2 linked regions of the Pelodiscus sinensis genome follow. The protein of the gene in region 1 interacts with the protein of each later gene in a pairwise test. Links are inferred from orthologs where the notes say so. Each region holds a gene or a part of one and is shown in the gene's direction. Other genes may lie near its edges.

Evidence for each region. The genes of interacting proteins can lie anywhere in the genome.
Region 2: the proteins of C2H5orf22 (region 1) and ELOF1 interact in binary tests that used the Homo sapiens proteins (3 or more experiments, as listed by UniProt). The two-hybrid records come from large-scale screens. The link is inferred for Pelodiscus sinensis from reciprocal best matches to the Homo sapiens genes C5orf22 and ELOF1.

Annotation. Positions count from the first base shown.
Region 1 is NC_134712.1:120,056,046-120,063,969, reverse strand, and holds the start of C2H5orf22 (UPF0489 protein C5orf22 homolog), read left to right. Parts: upstream 1-4,574; 5' UTR 4,575-4,717; coding exon 4,718-4,795; intron 4,796-7,924.
Region 2 is NC_134729.1:12,748,632-12,756,093, reverse strand, and holds the start of ELOF1 (transcription elongation factor 1 homolog), read left to right. Parts: upstream 1-4,140; 5' UTR 4,141-4,271; intron 4,272-5,255; 5' UTR 5,256-5,261; coding exon 5,262-5,377; intron 5,378-7,439; coding exon 7,440-7,462. UniProt on the Homo sapiens protein: Factor involved in transcription-coupled nucleotide excision repair (TC-NER), a mechanism that rapidly removes RNA polymerase II-blocking lesions from the transcribed strand of active genes.

The DNA of each region.
Region 1 (7,924 bases):
TGAATATTGGTTATAATTTTCATAAAACTCTCCAAAAATCACTAATCCAGTAATATGTTTTGCTGGCACATTAATTCTAACTTCTGCAACAACCATAATATAAATGTACACAAAAAGTGCCACTCATACAATTTTAAACCTTAAGCATAAGAATTTCACTAACTTTTCCTATTATATCAAATCCCAGCTAACCTATTATCAGAAAGACAATGGCAGTTTATGCTCCCTCTTTTGGCCCCAATCCTATAAAGACTTACAATACACTCCACTTTATATGCTATGGGACTTTGAAGACAATGGGACTACTCACAGTGTATGAAGTTAAGCACATGAATAAGGCTTTTGCAGAATCAGTGCCATAAAGTAACTGCAACTAGGGATGTCAGTTATTAACCAATTAACCAGCAGCAACAACCAGCAGCTCCCTGCCCGCCTCCATTTAAGCAATGAAATGTGACATTTAATTGGTTGCAACCACAACTTGTAGCATTGTATTAACATATGGGACCCAGACAGTGGAAGTGACTAGTCAATGTGAGAAAAAAAGAAACAAATACATAAATGGTATGGATAAATACATTCAATATTTAAAATTCTTTCAACCTTGATATTTTAAGGAGTGGGATAAAGATTTATTTTTAAATGTAGTTTTCAATTTGACGGCATTTCGCTAAAACACAGAGAAAAGAGTAAAGAAAACCCACCAGTGTCTTAAAATATAATTGGAGTAATTTCATATAAACAAGCACATAATAACTAAACAACTTGTGTCAGAAATATAAAGTCTTCCTTGAATCATGAAGGAATTTGTCTACCCTACAGATATTGCCTACCCTACAAATATAACCACATTTGGAAACCTGCTTCCAACCTTCTTTTCTTCTAGTCTTATTATGCACGTAGTGCCAGTCTGTAAGGTACTCCGGGCATACCAATATTTCACAAACTGGTGAAAGCTTGATCAAATCTATCTGAGAAATGTGGCTGAAGCCTTGATTTCTCCAGAGCTTCAGTCCAGTTTTATCATTATTAATGGGATTATGTCAGCGTCCAAAATATGCCTGGCAATTTTCAAACAGACATAATCATGCCTTCCAAGGAACTCACAATCTAAGAACACAAGCAACCCAAGAAGGATAAAGAAATAAAACACGCAATGGTTTTAGAGTGTCAACTTCCCCATTTGCCAGTTACCTAGCCATATGATCTACAAACTGGATGCATGGCTATGGACAAATTCAGGGATAACCAAGGCATAATCACATTCCCCGTTAATTTAAACGGAATAAATGGACCCATGCACAATTAAACATGGTTTGGGGTTGAGTCACAGAGCCCTCAGCAAGCCAAATCCTATGGCAACATCAAAGCTTTTATTTAGGGATATAAAATGGGTAAAAAGTAAGCATACCGGTTTGCATGAGAGTTACTGGTGTGCTTACTGATTAACCAGCCCTGGCCAGTGAATTCTGCCCGCAGCCAGCCACACTGGATAGCAGTGGCCCTGGCCATGCGATGTGACCTCACAGCTGCAGCGAAACTAGAGGCAGGCCGGGCGACAGGTCCTGAGTTAAAATGGGTAACTATTTAAAAAAAAAAAAAAAACACTTAAAGCATTAGACATATGAGGCATGAACCAGTACTGCTTTCATTTTAATAGTAGTCCATATTCCCTTTAATCGTAGGGTCTTTTTACAAAGAAATTTTCTTCCTCCCTCTTTTCCATCCCTGTTTGACAGAGTGCCTGATTATATAAACGGTAACAATAACGGTCTCCTTTTAGGGGAAAAGAGGAAAACGTTTTAGATGAGCTATAGCTACTGAAGTTGAGGTCTGACCTGTTATCTTTAAAAAACACACATTCACAAGAATACCAAAGATTAAAAAAAAAATGTAGTTTCTGTTTCTGGCTCTTCAAAATATGTTGGTGGTATCAACAAACCAGTGGCCCCAAACTTTTCAGCATCATGCCCTTCCTTACCTCTGTCCATGCTGTGCATTCTTTGCCAGGGGCTGAGCGTGGGAATACAACTCAGAGTGGAAAGGGAAGGCAAATATGGCAAGGACCAAGGAGGCCTAGGCTTAGTCTGGGTCCGGAAGTGAGGCCAGAGCCGCAAATGAGGTTGTAGTGAGGGATCAAGGCTGGGAGCAGGGGCTGGATTCAGAAGCTTGGTGGGCCAAATCTTGCCTGCTCCTGATGTAGACACTGTTACTTACATTGTCTGTTGACAACTTCCTGGCTGCCTCCAGCTCAGAGCATCAGTGGCAAAGGTCAGAGCTAGCGTCTTGAAACTGACAAGAATGTCAATTTTACTGCTAATATGCTTCTTGCCCTGATATTGCGCCCAGCATGGGGCTTACAGCTGCCCACCCCCCAGCTGTCAACCTGGCACTGGGCTCACAGCTTAAGTCCTCATCCTGGGGTGATGACCCAACTGTGAGGCAGGATGCCCCACACACCTAAATTAAGGTGACCTAATTTTGTAGTCTCGGAGGGGAAGCAGTGCTAGTCTGTAATTTAGTGGTCCTATAGCATTTTAGAGAATAACAAAAATACTTAAATAGTACCATGAGCTTTTGTGGGCACAGCCCACTTCTTCAGAAGAATGGAGCAAAAAAAGCTGCTCTACTCTTTCAAAGAAGTGAGTTGTGCCCATGAAAAATCATGATAATATTTATATATTTATGTTAATCTCTAAGGTACAACAGGACCACTCATTTTTTTCTAATTTTGTAGTTTTCTTCCCACAGATACTGTGGGTGATGACACTATGTAAGGATCTTAACACAGATATTCCTCAGTCACCACACTAGCAATTTACAAGTGTGTTGTTTGAGCAGTCTTCTGAAAGTAGTCTATTTTTGCTCCATCCTAACAGCAGAGCCTTATGTCTGACCTTTAAGCCAGAAAGGGTGGTGTCAAGAGGCCATCATCCAGATCCGTGGTGTTCAACCAGTTCTGAAGCAGTAGCCACTATGGCTATGTCTAGACTACATCTAGCCTCTTTCAAAAGACAGCATCTAGACTGCAACCACTTCTTTCGAAAAAACAGATCGCTTTTTCAAAAGAGAGCACCCAGGCAGCCTGGATGCTTTCTTTCGAAGAAGCCCTGTTTGCATTCAAGAACACCTTTTTTCGAAAGAGCACTTTTGAAAAAAGGCGTTCTTCCTTGTAAAATGAAGTTTACCACAGTTGAAAAAAACGCCACGTTCTTTTGATTTAATTTTGAAAGAAAATGGCAGCAGTCTAAACGCAGGGGAAGTTTTTTTGGAAAAAGGCCACTTTTTTCGAAAAAACCCTGTAGTCTAGACACATCCTCTAGTAGCTATTGCTAAAGCGAACTAACCACAGTCAACCAGCCACATGTGGCTAGGGTGTTGGGCACCACGGATCTAGAGTTACCAGCTTTCCTGGCTTCATAGACCAGATGCCATTTGCAGCAGTGATGTCCCATCCATCCAGTCAGGAAAGTTGGCAGCCCTACATCAGACAGTCTGAGAGCTTTGATAGATGGTATCAGCTGTGCATCACATTTAGGCCTTGCCTATGCTTAAAGCTGTTTTACCAGTTAGGGGCTATTTCAGTTAAGGGATGATATTTTTAATGGCATAAAAAGTGATTTATGCCACTACACATTAGATTTTCTTTTCCCTGTAGAGGAAGCACCTTTATAAACCAATGTAACCACATCCAAAGTAGCAGGGCTACACCACTTTCTATCAGGATAATTATTTCCTTTGCCCTACAATAGCTCTATCACTATAAGCATCTTTATATGGATATGACTGCATCCACACTAGGGAGGTCACACCGTTTTGACTGTACCTGTACTGTTAAAACACAACTTTGTAGTGTGGGCAAGCCCTTAGGTGTGCCCAGGACAAACTACAAAGCAAGACAAAGTTCTGTGAACTTGGGATTTTGCAGTCAACCTGTAACTCAACGCAGCTGCTGCAAACACCAAACAAAAGGTAGGAGGAAACACACAAGTCTGCACCCAAAGCTCTTGCAGGAGGAAGGAAGCCATCCTGGCATTAAGTCCCAGGCGATACGCAGCAGCTCTAGTGGGTTTCTGGTTCCCCTCCATTCAAACCTAAGCGACCCAGTGAAAAGGGTCCACGTGAAATCAGCGCAGACAGCTCCAACCCTACCCGGCATCCTGAGCAAGGTGCCCAGCCGGGAAGGAAGCGGAGGGAAGACGCTGGTTCCTGGGAAGGGGAGGTGGGACCCGGGGAATAGGGAGCCCCCTCCCAGCACGAAGCGGGGGGAGAGAACCGCTCTCCTAGGGAGGGGGTGGGGGCATCCATCCTACCTGCACGAGCCCCCCTCGCAGACCAACACCCGCGGCGCAGGCCGGGCACCAGTCAGCCAGACACCGGCTCCGGAACAGGAAAAGGGAGGGAGGAGCATCCACCCCGCGCGGAAGCCCAGCCGCAGCCATCCGGGCCGGGTCACAGAGGGGGCGGGCAATGGGCCAAGGAAGGGCCGGCGAGCCCCTGGCCCCGTGCGCTCCCCTCCCCTGCGGGGGAGCCCCGGCTGCGGAGCGCGGCGGCCCGGCCCATGGCAGGGGAGGGGGGCCGCCCCCTGCTCCTCCCCTTGCCGCACGGGTGTCCCACGCTGGTGCTCCGCGGAACGTCGCGGCCCTCGGCGTTCGGACCGTAGAACGTTGCTGGCCCGAAAGTTCTTGGCTCCGAACGCTCGCCTAGCGCGGCCGCCATGAGCAGCGCAGGGCAGCCGGGCCGCTTGCGGAGCTACCCGGCGCTGCCCGTGTGCGTGGTGGAGGATCACCAGGATGTAAGTGCTGGGGGGGGGGGGTGATAACTGGGACCCGCACCGGGACTGCTGTTGGGGCTAGAACCGCTGAAAGGGACACAGCCCAGCCCTGGGTCTCTGGGAGTCAGTTCCCACCACGACCAAATCTCTGAGATTATGCCTGTGCTGCACTAAGGCCGGGACTGAGGGGCCTGCGGTGCATGCTCTGTGTTTCCAAGCCTGCAATTGAACATGGGCACCACATGCTAAACCTGGTTTTACAGTTACTGGCTCTGGGGCTCGCACAGCCACGTTAATAGGCAGGCCTGACTTCAGCCTGTGGCTGGAGCTGTCTCCAGCTGCAAGACAAAGTTTGGACCTAATTCACACTTTAAAATTAAGTTGACCTAAGTTACAACGATGTATAGCCACAGCAGTAATTACATTAGGTTTGGTGGCTACATTACATGTCCTTGTTCCAGGACTAAGTGCTTGCACCTATGATTGAGCTGCTGGTGTGGGGCACTGGGGGGTGACTTCTGAAAGGCAGCTACAATCAATGTAAGCAATGCAGTGTCTACACTGACACTGTAGCAACCTAGTGACATCGACCTAAACACTGCACCTCTCCTGGATTTGAAGTTGTCAGTAGTGGGTGAGTTACATTGGTGGGAGCTACATTTTGATGTACATGCTTATAGAATTAGTTTGATATAAGCTGCCTTTTTTGACCTACCTGTATTGTAGGACAGGCATTAGGCTCAAAAGGACCTGGGTCCTGATTGCTTGTTGACCTGATTTAGACAGATTTCTTTGTGGACATGGGTGGGATCAAATCTGAGGGTTAGCCCAGATTTGCAATGCTATATAGACTTATCCTTGGGCATGTGTTTTGCTTCACTACACTGTTGCACCTATGCAAATTATTATGCAGGAATGACGCCTGTGAGATAAAGAGCTTGTCAGCACATACAGCACTGCAGCAGCACAGTTTACATGGATGCTGCAGTGCTCTTGTGGCACTTGGACACTATCTACACAAATGAGAACTTCTCCTACAAGCATAGGTACTCTACTTCCCCCATGCTGACACCAGAAACGCTGCCAGAGATATAGTCCTTCCTACAACAGGAATTTGGTCAATGTAACTGCTGATCAGGTGTGCTGATTTTTCACACTCTGGGTGACATGTACATCATCATAAGTCTGTAGCATAGATCACAACAGAGCACCTACACATGATTTTAAATTGTTACTTACTGTGATACCTACTGCATCACACCTTTAGCACATACTGTACTGGTTAGCTGTCTCCCTTATTTTAGTAGCCATTATACAAGTACTAGTCTATGATACAAAATATCTTTTTTGCATCACCAATTGTCTTTGGTAACTGCATGAAAAACTCAGTTTATAATTATTGCCTTGCAGCTTAGGCAGTCACTCCAAATAACATGCCATTTATCCACCTTGGCCATTGTGTAAAGGGACTAGGTATTTGACACATCCATACAAGATCGCTGAATGGGAATTAGCTTCCCCAATCCCCAGAATTTCCTTTATGCACCAATGAACAGGTTTGGGGGTTGCTCCCATAGTCCTTGTGACAGTTCTGATCTATCTCCTCCGCTGGCAGAAATAGTATAGAAAATGCACAGTCTGACTTGTGGAAGCACAGAGCATTGCAAATCATAAGCCCCTCTGTAGACAATCTTGTGATCAGCACTCACTTCTGGCATCTGCTCCCTGGAGTGGCGGGCACCGTACTAACAGCCAGAAGCTGCTCACTGGGGCACTTCCTGGCCCCCTGTGGTCATGCATGTTTATAATGGTCCCTGCTCTCTCTCACACCCCTTTCTGTTTGATGTGAAATAACCACCTTCCATGCACATTCACTTATCCTGGCACAACCAAACCCTGACCTTGCTTTAAGTTATGATAAGAGGAAGCTGCATAGCTCTTACTATTTAGGAGCAGTTCTTGAACAAATGGACTCACAGACTGACTCTCATTTCTAAAATATATAGTAAGATAAGCAACTGAAAAGGCTCAAATCAGAGCCCAGTCATTCATATGTCTATCTTATTTTCACATTATTTTGCCATAAATATACCATAACATAATCTAGGAAATGCTGGCAAAGTAAAATAACATCCAAAAAGGTACAAAAAAATTTAACCTGTCTTAACATAGTAAATGGGCTTTTTGGCCTGTGCTGAACATATCAGGTGTAATTCACCCAAGAAAAGAGGGCCCATTAAAAGCTTTGCACGCTTCTCATAAGAGACCCATTTCATACAGAGGCATATGTCTTCTGTGACTGGTGCTGCTGGCAATAAGCAGGGGTACTGAATTCATAGAACTTGTATGCAGAGTCAGTTGCCTAAAGGCTCCCTTCACTCTGCCAGTCTGTAGCCTCACATAAACTGGGAACAAGTTAGCCTTGCCCCCTGTCTCTTGTGTGTATGGGGGCTGTATGTCTGCAATCTCCATGTTGACAGTATAGGGCCTGTGAGAGTGTCTTACAGCCTGAGTAATGCAGGTTTCACCGAATTTGCGTTTAATTTTGATGGATAATGTCACTGGTTATGTTTAGCCTTTATTATTCATTTTTTCCAACAGATGCACCAGATTATGGGTTTAAAGATTTTTCTTTTTGTATATTTTATTGATTGTTATTTTCACAGTTGCAGGAAATTATGGGAAAAGGTAATACATTGGAATCAGCTGTTATGCTTAAAAGAAGCACACGGGATCTTTTTCAGGGGGATAAGGCAACACGCCACATTTATTGATAATATAACAAAGTAGCATGCATTTACACACACACACATACACAGTCACACCCTGCTGATGGAATAGTTACCAGTCTGTTGCTTGACCCAGCCTGTTGGCAAGATAGGTCAAATGTGAGGAAGGAGCTGGGTTCTTGTCAGTCCAGACTGATGCTCTTCTTGGGAGTACGGTAACCCAAAGAACCATATAAGACACCCTATCCTTTATAGGATTTTCCTTCCATGCAAGTCTATGCATTTTTGTCAGGCCTTAATTAGTCATTCAACATCACAATCAGTCTTCCTACGACATATGCTTATCGAGAAGAAGTTGTTCTCACAGTCATTTGATGTCCATGTGCTGACGACCCCTCAGGGGTGTTGTCTTTCTGATGAA
Region 2 (7,462 bases), on another chromosome or scaffold:
GCAGAGCGTTCCGACTACACTGGGTTAGTTGTGGGACGAGGTCTCCTCCCCTCGTCGTTCTCCACCCCGCTCCTAGGTGTGGCCCCTGGCTGCTGTGGGGGGAGGGTATCTGCAACGCTTTCCCAGGGCCAGGCAAGCTGGCCGCATGGCTCCAAAGCAGAGCTGGGTTTGAGGACTATGGCACGGTATTGCCTGGCGTGACCTTGTCGCTGTCTCTCTGGGCACCAGCTCCCCGCCTCTAAAACGGGGCTAAGCCCCTTCCCTGCTCCCTGCTCTGTGACTCTCAATTCCTCGGGGATCTCTACAGCTACTGCAACAAAAGTCCCTACCCACGGCTCTCTCAGGTGAGCTGCTCCCTGGTCTTGCCACCTGGAAGTGCTATGAACTCCCTTCTCTCGGGAACAAAATCCTCAGCCACGTGCCATGCAGTTGGGAAGCTGATTTTTATGGTGTTGCTCCTGGCAGGCCAGTAAACTGAGTTGTGCCGGAAGAGGCCTCAGCACTGCTCAAATCCAGCATGGCTTTGAGTTGTTTGTTTTTAACCCTCAGATACTGACTGGTCCAGGGGGTTTGCTCCCAGTTTAAATGTAAAACGGTGTGTGTGTGTGTGTGCCTCTGCGTGCGTGTGTGCGATCCCCACGTCTGTCAGACTTGTAAGCTCTGGAGAAACTTCTTTACACGATGCAGCATAGCACCTGTGATCTGCTCCCTGAATCTGCCTTGAAGGGAGCAGACTCTTGTACGTGAGTTTCTTGTGATTATTTTCAGTAAATTATGCTGGGAAAAGCAATGTTGGTTTTCTCTCCACATACCTTGGGCACGATGACACGACATTTGGGAAACAGAGGGGCAAGTTGGGACGGACGGCTGCAGAGTTCTGCCAACGCCCCTCCTTCCCAAAGTGCAGCCCCCTGCTACCCTGGCTCTAGGTTCAAACACTCAGAGCTCTGCTAGTGTCGCACTCAAATAATCCTGACCCACGGCCTCTTGCTAGCTCAGCCCTGGCTCTCCCACTGCCCTGCGAATGTGGATGGGGTCATGTGCTTTTGTGGGCACAACCCACTTCTTCAGATGAATGGAGAAGTCTCCCAATCAGGTCCAGAAATGATGAGCCATATGAGGGTTTTGGGATGTGCAGGGATGGCATTTTCACACTTCATAGCCTAGCCTTCTCCCTCCCCCACACCTCCTGAGCTGGAAGCTGCTTGCCTGACCAGATCCCTTCTCATTGGTGCTTCCAATCGCTACCACATTTTCCTTGGCAAACAGACACCTACAATGAGGGCACCTACTGAAAGAACCTTAACCCCAGCAGGTGGTTGAGGAAAGAACATACGGAAACACCCCATGGATCAGTAGCTGGGAACCACATCAGGGAAGAAAGAAGGCTGCCTCCCCATCTTTAACACCCCCACTTTTGCTTCTCCACAAGGGCATGCCCCACAGACCCCCAGTCTCCAAAGTCTGTCCTGTACTCTGTCCCCAGCACTCGAATATGAACAGAAAAGTTTCTCTAATTAAAGGAGGAGGGGTTTTCTGGGATGTAAGGAAGAGATTTGAACGCAAGTTTCAACCTGAGCAGATGAACATGAGTGCTCCCAGATGTTTTTAACTTGAGCGGATATTGTTTTGTACAAGATAGACTCCAATTCAAACAGGGATTCATTCAGGGCTGTTCTCTGGCCTGTCTTAAACAGGAGGGCAACTCTTTTTAGCTTAAGAGTGGGAACAGGTTTAGGTGAAACCAAAATAAGTCACGTTTAAATCCCAAATCAGCCACGTTTAAATCCCAAATCAGCATCCTCCCAGAATCCAAGGTGTTTGCTCCAATTTAACTATATTGGACATCCGTGCCAGTGTAGACGCTCTCTTGTGCAAGAAAGCTCCGATGGCCATTTTAGCCCCTGGCTTTCTTGCGCAAGAAATCAACTTGGCTGTCTACACTGGCCCTCTTGCGCAAGAGGGTTTATCCCTGAGCGGGAGCGTCAGAGTATTTACGCAAGAACCACTGATTTTGTACAGTACAAAGTCAGTGTTCTTGCGCAAATACTCGCGGCCAGTGTAGACAGGCGGCAAGATTTTGCACAAAAGCATCCGTCTTAGTGTGTTACCACAGCATCTAGGAGCCCCAGTTACAGCCCAGAACCTGAGGTTGCTACAGGTGGCACACATATCCAATTAAAAACTGGTCTTTGTTCCAAAGTGCTTCTAATCTAATTATAAAATAGGTGAGAGCAGGTAGATACAGCACAAGGAAGCCATACTGGTCAGCAGCTGCCTAACTTTTGTCAAGGTTTTTGCAAGGGGCTGCAGGGGAGAAAGCATAAAGATACTTGTTTGAAAACTGGTGCAATTGTCCCTATGTCACAAAATGTTTGCATGCAAAAAATCCCCCCTCCCCCAGGCAAGTTCATCTTTGTGGACAGGCAAGCCCTCCTGCTGGCAACAAGTTGTTTACACCCACTTGCCACAGCAAGTTCAAGCTCCTGTGAAGTACAGAAGTTTTGTCATTCAATTGGAGGTGTTGACAAAGCCCGGTAAACAGACACACCTACTATGTTGAGAACCAGAGTCAATGGCACTGTGCTACAAGGCATGAGGATTAAGCCTTCAAAGGCTGATAGTCCAATGTCTAGTTTCAGGTCTGGTCAACATAGCAAATGTTCAGCAACCGGAAAAATAGCTATGCTACTCCCTGTAGCTATGCTAAGCCCGAAGGTAGATAGAAACACTCCTTTGCCAACCTAGCTCTATCTTCCGACAGGGAGATGGTAAAGATGGAAATTCCCCTTGTGTGGCTACACCTTGAGCCTACATGACCAGGTTACAACAGCACAGCTACGGCACCCCAGCTATTGACACCGTAGTGCAGACAGAGTCCTACCGTCCCAAACCAAGCAAGACACAGACACACAGCATCAACAGTGAGGCTGCACATGCTTTCCTGGCCAGTAATCCCAAGCAGGCAGAAAAGAGCTGGTTTTAAATAGAGGTTTCCTCTTTGCCCATTGCAAAAACAAAATAATTGCACAACTCAAAAACCGGGCCAAATCCAGCCAGCACAGACCCCTAAGAAGTCTTTTTCTAATGGGGTGCGTCTAGACTGGTAAGATTTTGCGCAAAAGCAAGCGCTTTTGTGCAAAAACTTGCCAGCTGTCCACACTGGCTGTTTGAATTTGCGCAAGAGCACTGACTTTGTAATATACAAAATCAGTGCTTCTTGCCCAAATACTTTCACGCTCCCGCTTGGGAAAAAGCCCTCTTGCGCAAGAATACTTGCACAAGGCGGCCAGTGAAGACAGGGAAGAACTGTTTTGCACAAAAAAGCCCCCATGGCTAAAATGGCGATCGGGGCTTTCTTGTGCAAAATCGCGTCTACACTGGCCACTTTTTGCGCAAAAGCATCCGGGCCAATCTAGACGCGCTGCTGCGGGAATACTTTTAATGGAAAAGTTTTTCCGTTAAAAATATTTCCGCAAAATCATGCCAGTCTAGTCGCAGCCATGTACTTAAAGGGCCAGAGACCGACCCCCCCATCCCATCCCATCTGACTTTGCTTATCTGCAGGGCGAAGCCTGTCCATGGCCGTTAACAGCCTCTAATCAGCTGCCTGTTTGCCCTGTATCTGGGGCCCATCTCGCCGGTCAGGAGGCCTGCGGGGAAGGCGAGGCCCAGGCCCTGCTCCTCACCACCCCACCCCCCCCCCCCCCGGGCCAGGGGTGCGAATCCTGGGCAAACGCTGCGGGGGGGGGGGGCTGTTCTGCCTCCCCCGTCCTGCTGGATGAGTCGCCTGCTGGCAGCGCGGGGGGGGGGGGGGGGGGGAGGGGCTTGTGCCCCGCCCTCTGCTGGGGCAACCACACTCCAGCCACTTGTGTGGCACCGCCCGGGGGGGCCACACGCCCGAGGCAGGGCCCCCCAGCGCCGAGCCTCTGCCCCAAGGGACCCCCCCGCCTGCCCCCCCTCGGGCTGGGGGTCCCTCCCGCCTGCCCCCCCCCTCGGGTCTGGGGGTCCCGTAAATCTTGGGGTCTCCCCCGCTACGGGGGCCATCTTGGAAACAGGGGGGGGGATCACCTCAGCCCCACTTCCGCTCCAGGCGCCCTCCTGTGCCCTCATTTCCGCCTGCCCGTGCTGTCAATCATTCCGCGCTGGGCGGGAAGGCCAGCCAATGGGCGCCCGCGGGGCGGGCGGGCCGAGCGCGTTTCTCTTCCGGTTCGGCGCCGGAAGTGCCGGTCGCCGTTGGAAACGCGGCCCGGGCAGGAGGCTGGCCACAGGTGGGGGGGCCTGACTGCGATCTCCCCCCCCCCGCCCCGGAAGTGACCCGCGGGTCCCTGGGGGGGCTGGGTCGGCTCTTGTCCCCCGTACCTGGGGGATTCCCCATCCCGGGGGGGGGGCGCTGGGCCCCTGTACCTGGGGGATTCCCCATCCCGGGGGGGGGGGGGGCGCTGGGCCCCTGTACCTGGGGGATTCCCCATCCCGGGGGGGGGGCGCTGGGCCCCTGTACCTGGGGGATTCCCCATCCCGGGGGGGGGGGGCGCTGGGCCCCTGTACCTGGGGGATTCCCCATCCCGGGGGGGGGGGGGCGCTGGGCCACTGTACCTGGGGGATTCCCCATCCCGGGGGGGGGGGCGCTGGGCCCCTGTACCTGGGGGATTCCCCATCCCGGGGGGGGGGCGCTGGGCCCCTGTACCTGGGGGATTCCCCATCCCGGGGGGGGGGGCGTTGGGCCCCTGTACCTGGGGGATTCCCCATCCCGGGGGGGGGGGGCGTTGGGCCCCTGTACCTGGGGGATTCCCCATCCCGGGGGGGGGGCGTTGGGCCCCTGTATCTGGGGGATTCCCCATCCCGGGGGGGGGCGCTGGGCCCCTGTAACTGGGGGATTCCCCATCCCGGGGGGGGGCGCTGGGCCCCTGTAACTGGGGGATTCCCCATCCCGGGGGGGGGGCGCTGGGCCCCTGTAACTGGGGGATTCCCCATCCCCGGGGGGGGGGGCGCTGGGCCCCTGTATCTGGGGGATTCCCCATCCCGGGGGGGCGCGCTGGGCCCCTGTATCTGGGGGATTCCCCATCCCGGGGGGGCTGTGGTGTTGGGAGGGTTTGGTTAAATCCCAGAGAGCACTTCTACCCCCATCCCGTTGCAGCCCCTTCCCCCCCCATTCCTGAGTGTGCTGCAGCTGGGGGTGAAGCAAAAGGGCAGCATGTGCCATTCTCCCTGGCTCCGACCGGACTGACACTTTCTCTCTTGTCTGCAACTTACAGGCAAAGATGGGCCGCAGGAAGTCAAAGCGGAAGCCCCCACCCAAGAAGAAGATGACGGGCACCCTGGAGACGCAGTTCACCTGCCCCTTCTGTAACCACGAGAAATCCTGTGACGTCAAAATGTAAGCAGAGCGGCGTTTCTGGTTCCAGTGCCGGGGCGCAGCCAGCTGGACGGCTGTGCTAGGGCTCCAAAGGGTGCGCTTACACTGCCTGTCGCTTCTCGGGGTGAAGGGGATGACCTCATTCCCATCTGGGGCTGGGTCAGGAAGTCCTTGCATTGTGGGGTTAGAGGTGTTTCCGGGGGGATGCCAGGCATTCGCTGAAGTGTCATGCTGGCCACTGCTGGAGGTAGGACACTAGGCTGTAGTCTTGGTCTGGTGTGACAGGGGGAGGAAACAGGGCTAGATTGGCCTATTGGTTTGATCCAGTGTAGTAGCAAGGGAAGGGTGGACAAAACAGAGTAGATATTCATATCTAGCTCTATAGTGATTAACGCACTGGGCCAGGACTCCAGATATATTGATTCTCTTTCCAGTTCTGCCCCTGGTCTGCTGAGTAGGCATGTAAAAATCCCATTTAACCAGTTAATCGCTTAAACAGAATCTCGCAGGTGGAGGGACCCTCCAGCCCGGCTAGCTCACAGTGATCCCCTGCCTGCAGCACGGTGTGCCAACCAGGCTGGAGCAGCCCTCCCATCCATGTTGGACAGAAGTTAGCTCCAGCCCAGCTGGACCGCCTGTTAACCGGTTAACTGTTTAACCGGTGAAACTTCATGTCTCTCTGCCTCGGTTTCCCCGTTTGTAAAATGGGAATAATAATGCCAGTGTCATTTATATATTGCTTGAGGTCTACACACAAAAAGAACTAGAGCTAGGGGCTGTAGTTGCTATTACTATTAGCACTTATAATCTGTAGATTGGTGAGCCATTTGTCAGGTCTGGCCTGGCAAGGAAGGGGAATGTTACAGAGTAAGCTGGGCCAATTGGTCTCTTCCAATTGGAAATGAAAGCCAGGCTAAAAGGGGTCCATTTGGTTTGATCTGGCATAGGACAGAAAGAGGGATATAAGGCTAAACAGGCCAGTTGATTTAATTGTAGTGTAGTCTGTTTGTGACAGGAAGAGCCATATGGAAGCATTTCTGTAACTAAGGAACTTACTTTTTAAATGATATAAGAGAGCAACTGTAATTAGCTCACAGGAAGGGCATCTGGGGTTTTGCTATACAGGCAGTCCCCGGGTTACGTACAAGATAGGGACTGTAGGTTTGTTCTTAAGTTGAATTTGTATGTAAGTCGGAACTGGTACATATTGTAGGGGAAACTCTAGCCAAACATTTCTCCAGAGCTCAGTTTTATTCTCCCACACCTCGCTTCCCTCAGTCCTTTATTCTCAAGCTGAGGTGTCTGCTGAGAAAAGCCGCTCTGCATCTTCCTGGTCTGCTGGAGGGGGGCGCTAGCTTCGCGTCTCCCTGGTCTGCTGGGGGGAAGCAGGTAGTGCGGGGTTCCCTCACCCTGTTTGTAAGTAGGGATCCGATGTAAGTCGGATCCATGTAACCCGGGGACTGCCTGTACCCTCATCAGCAAGTACTACTGAAGCGTGACTTCATATCATGGATCACTTCCATAAAAGTAGTACTAAAGTGCCACAAGATTTCCTTCTTGGGGTGAAGCTTAGGAAAAAAAATCCCCTGTTTTCCTGTTCATGAGTGTATAATCAACCACACTGGAACTCAGGTTTGTACCATCTCAAATCCTGCACCTTTCAGAGCAGTACAGATGGTTTGCACATTTCCACCTTACTTATCTTCTTGCCCAATGCCTAAATGTTCAGTTCTTTTAACCTCTCATAAATCCTGAGATGGAACATAATCCGTTGGTGAAAGCAGAAGACCAGGAGTCAGGACTCCTGGGTTCTTTTTCCAGCTCTTGCAACCAACTTGCTTCACGATCATGTTGGGCAAGTTGCTTCCCTTCCATTCACTGTTTTGTGTCAGTAAAATGTGAATAACTTAGCAGCTCTTGGGTTGTGATGCTTAATTTGTTAATGTTGTGTCTTGTTTCAGTAGGTACTGTTGAGAAGTGCATTCTTCTGTTCAATTTCTCAAACCACTTGCTCTTGTTTGTTTGCTCTTTGAGCTTTCCTTTGGAAATATTTGCTGTTGGAATATTGTTTTCTATATTCCAGGGACCGGGCTCGGAACACTGGCG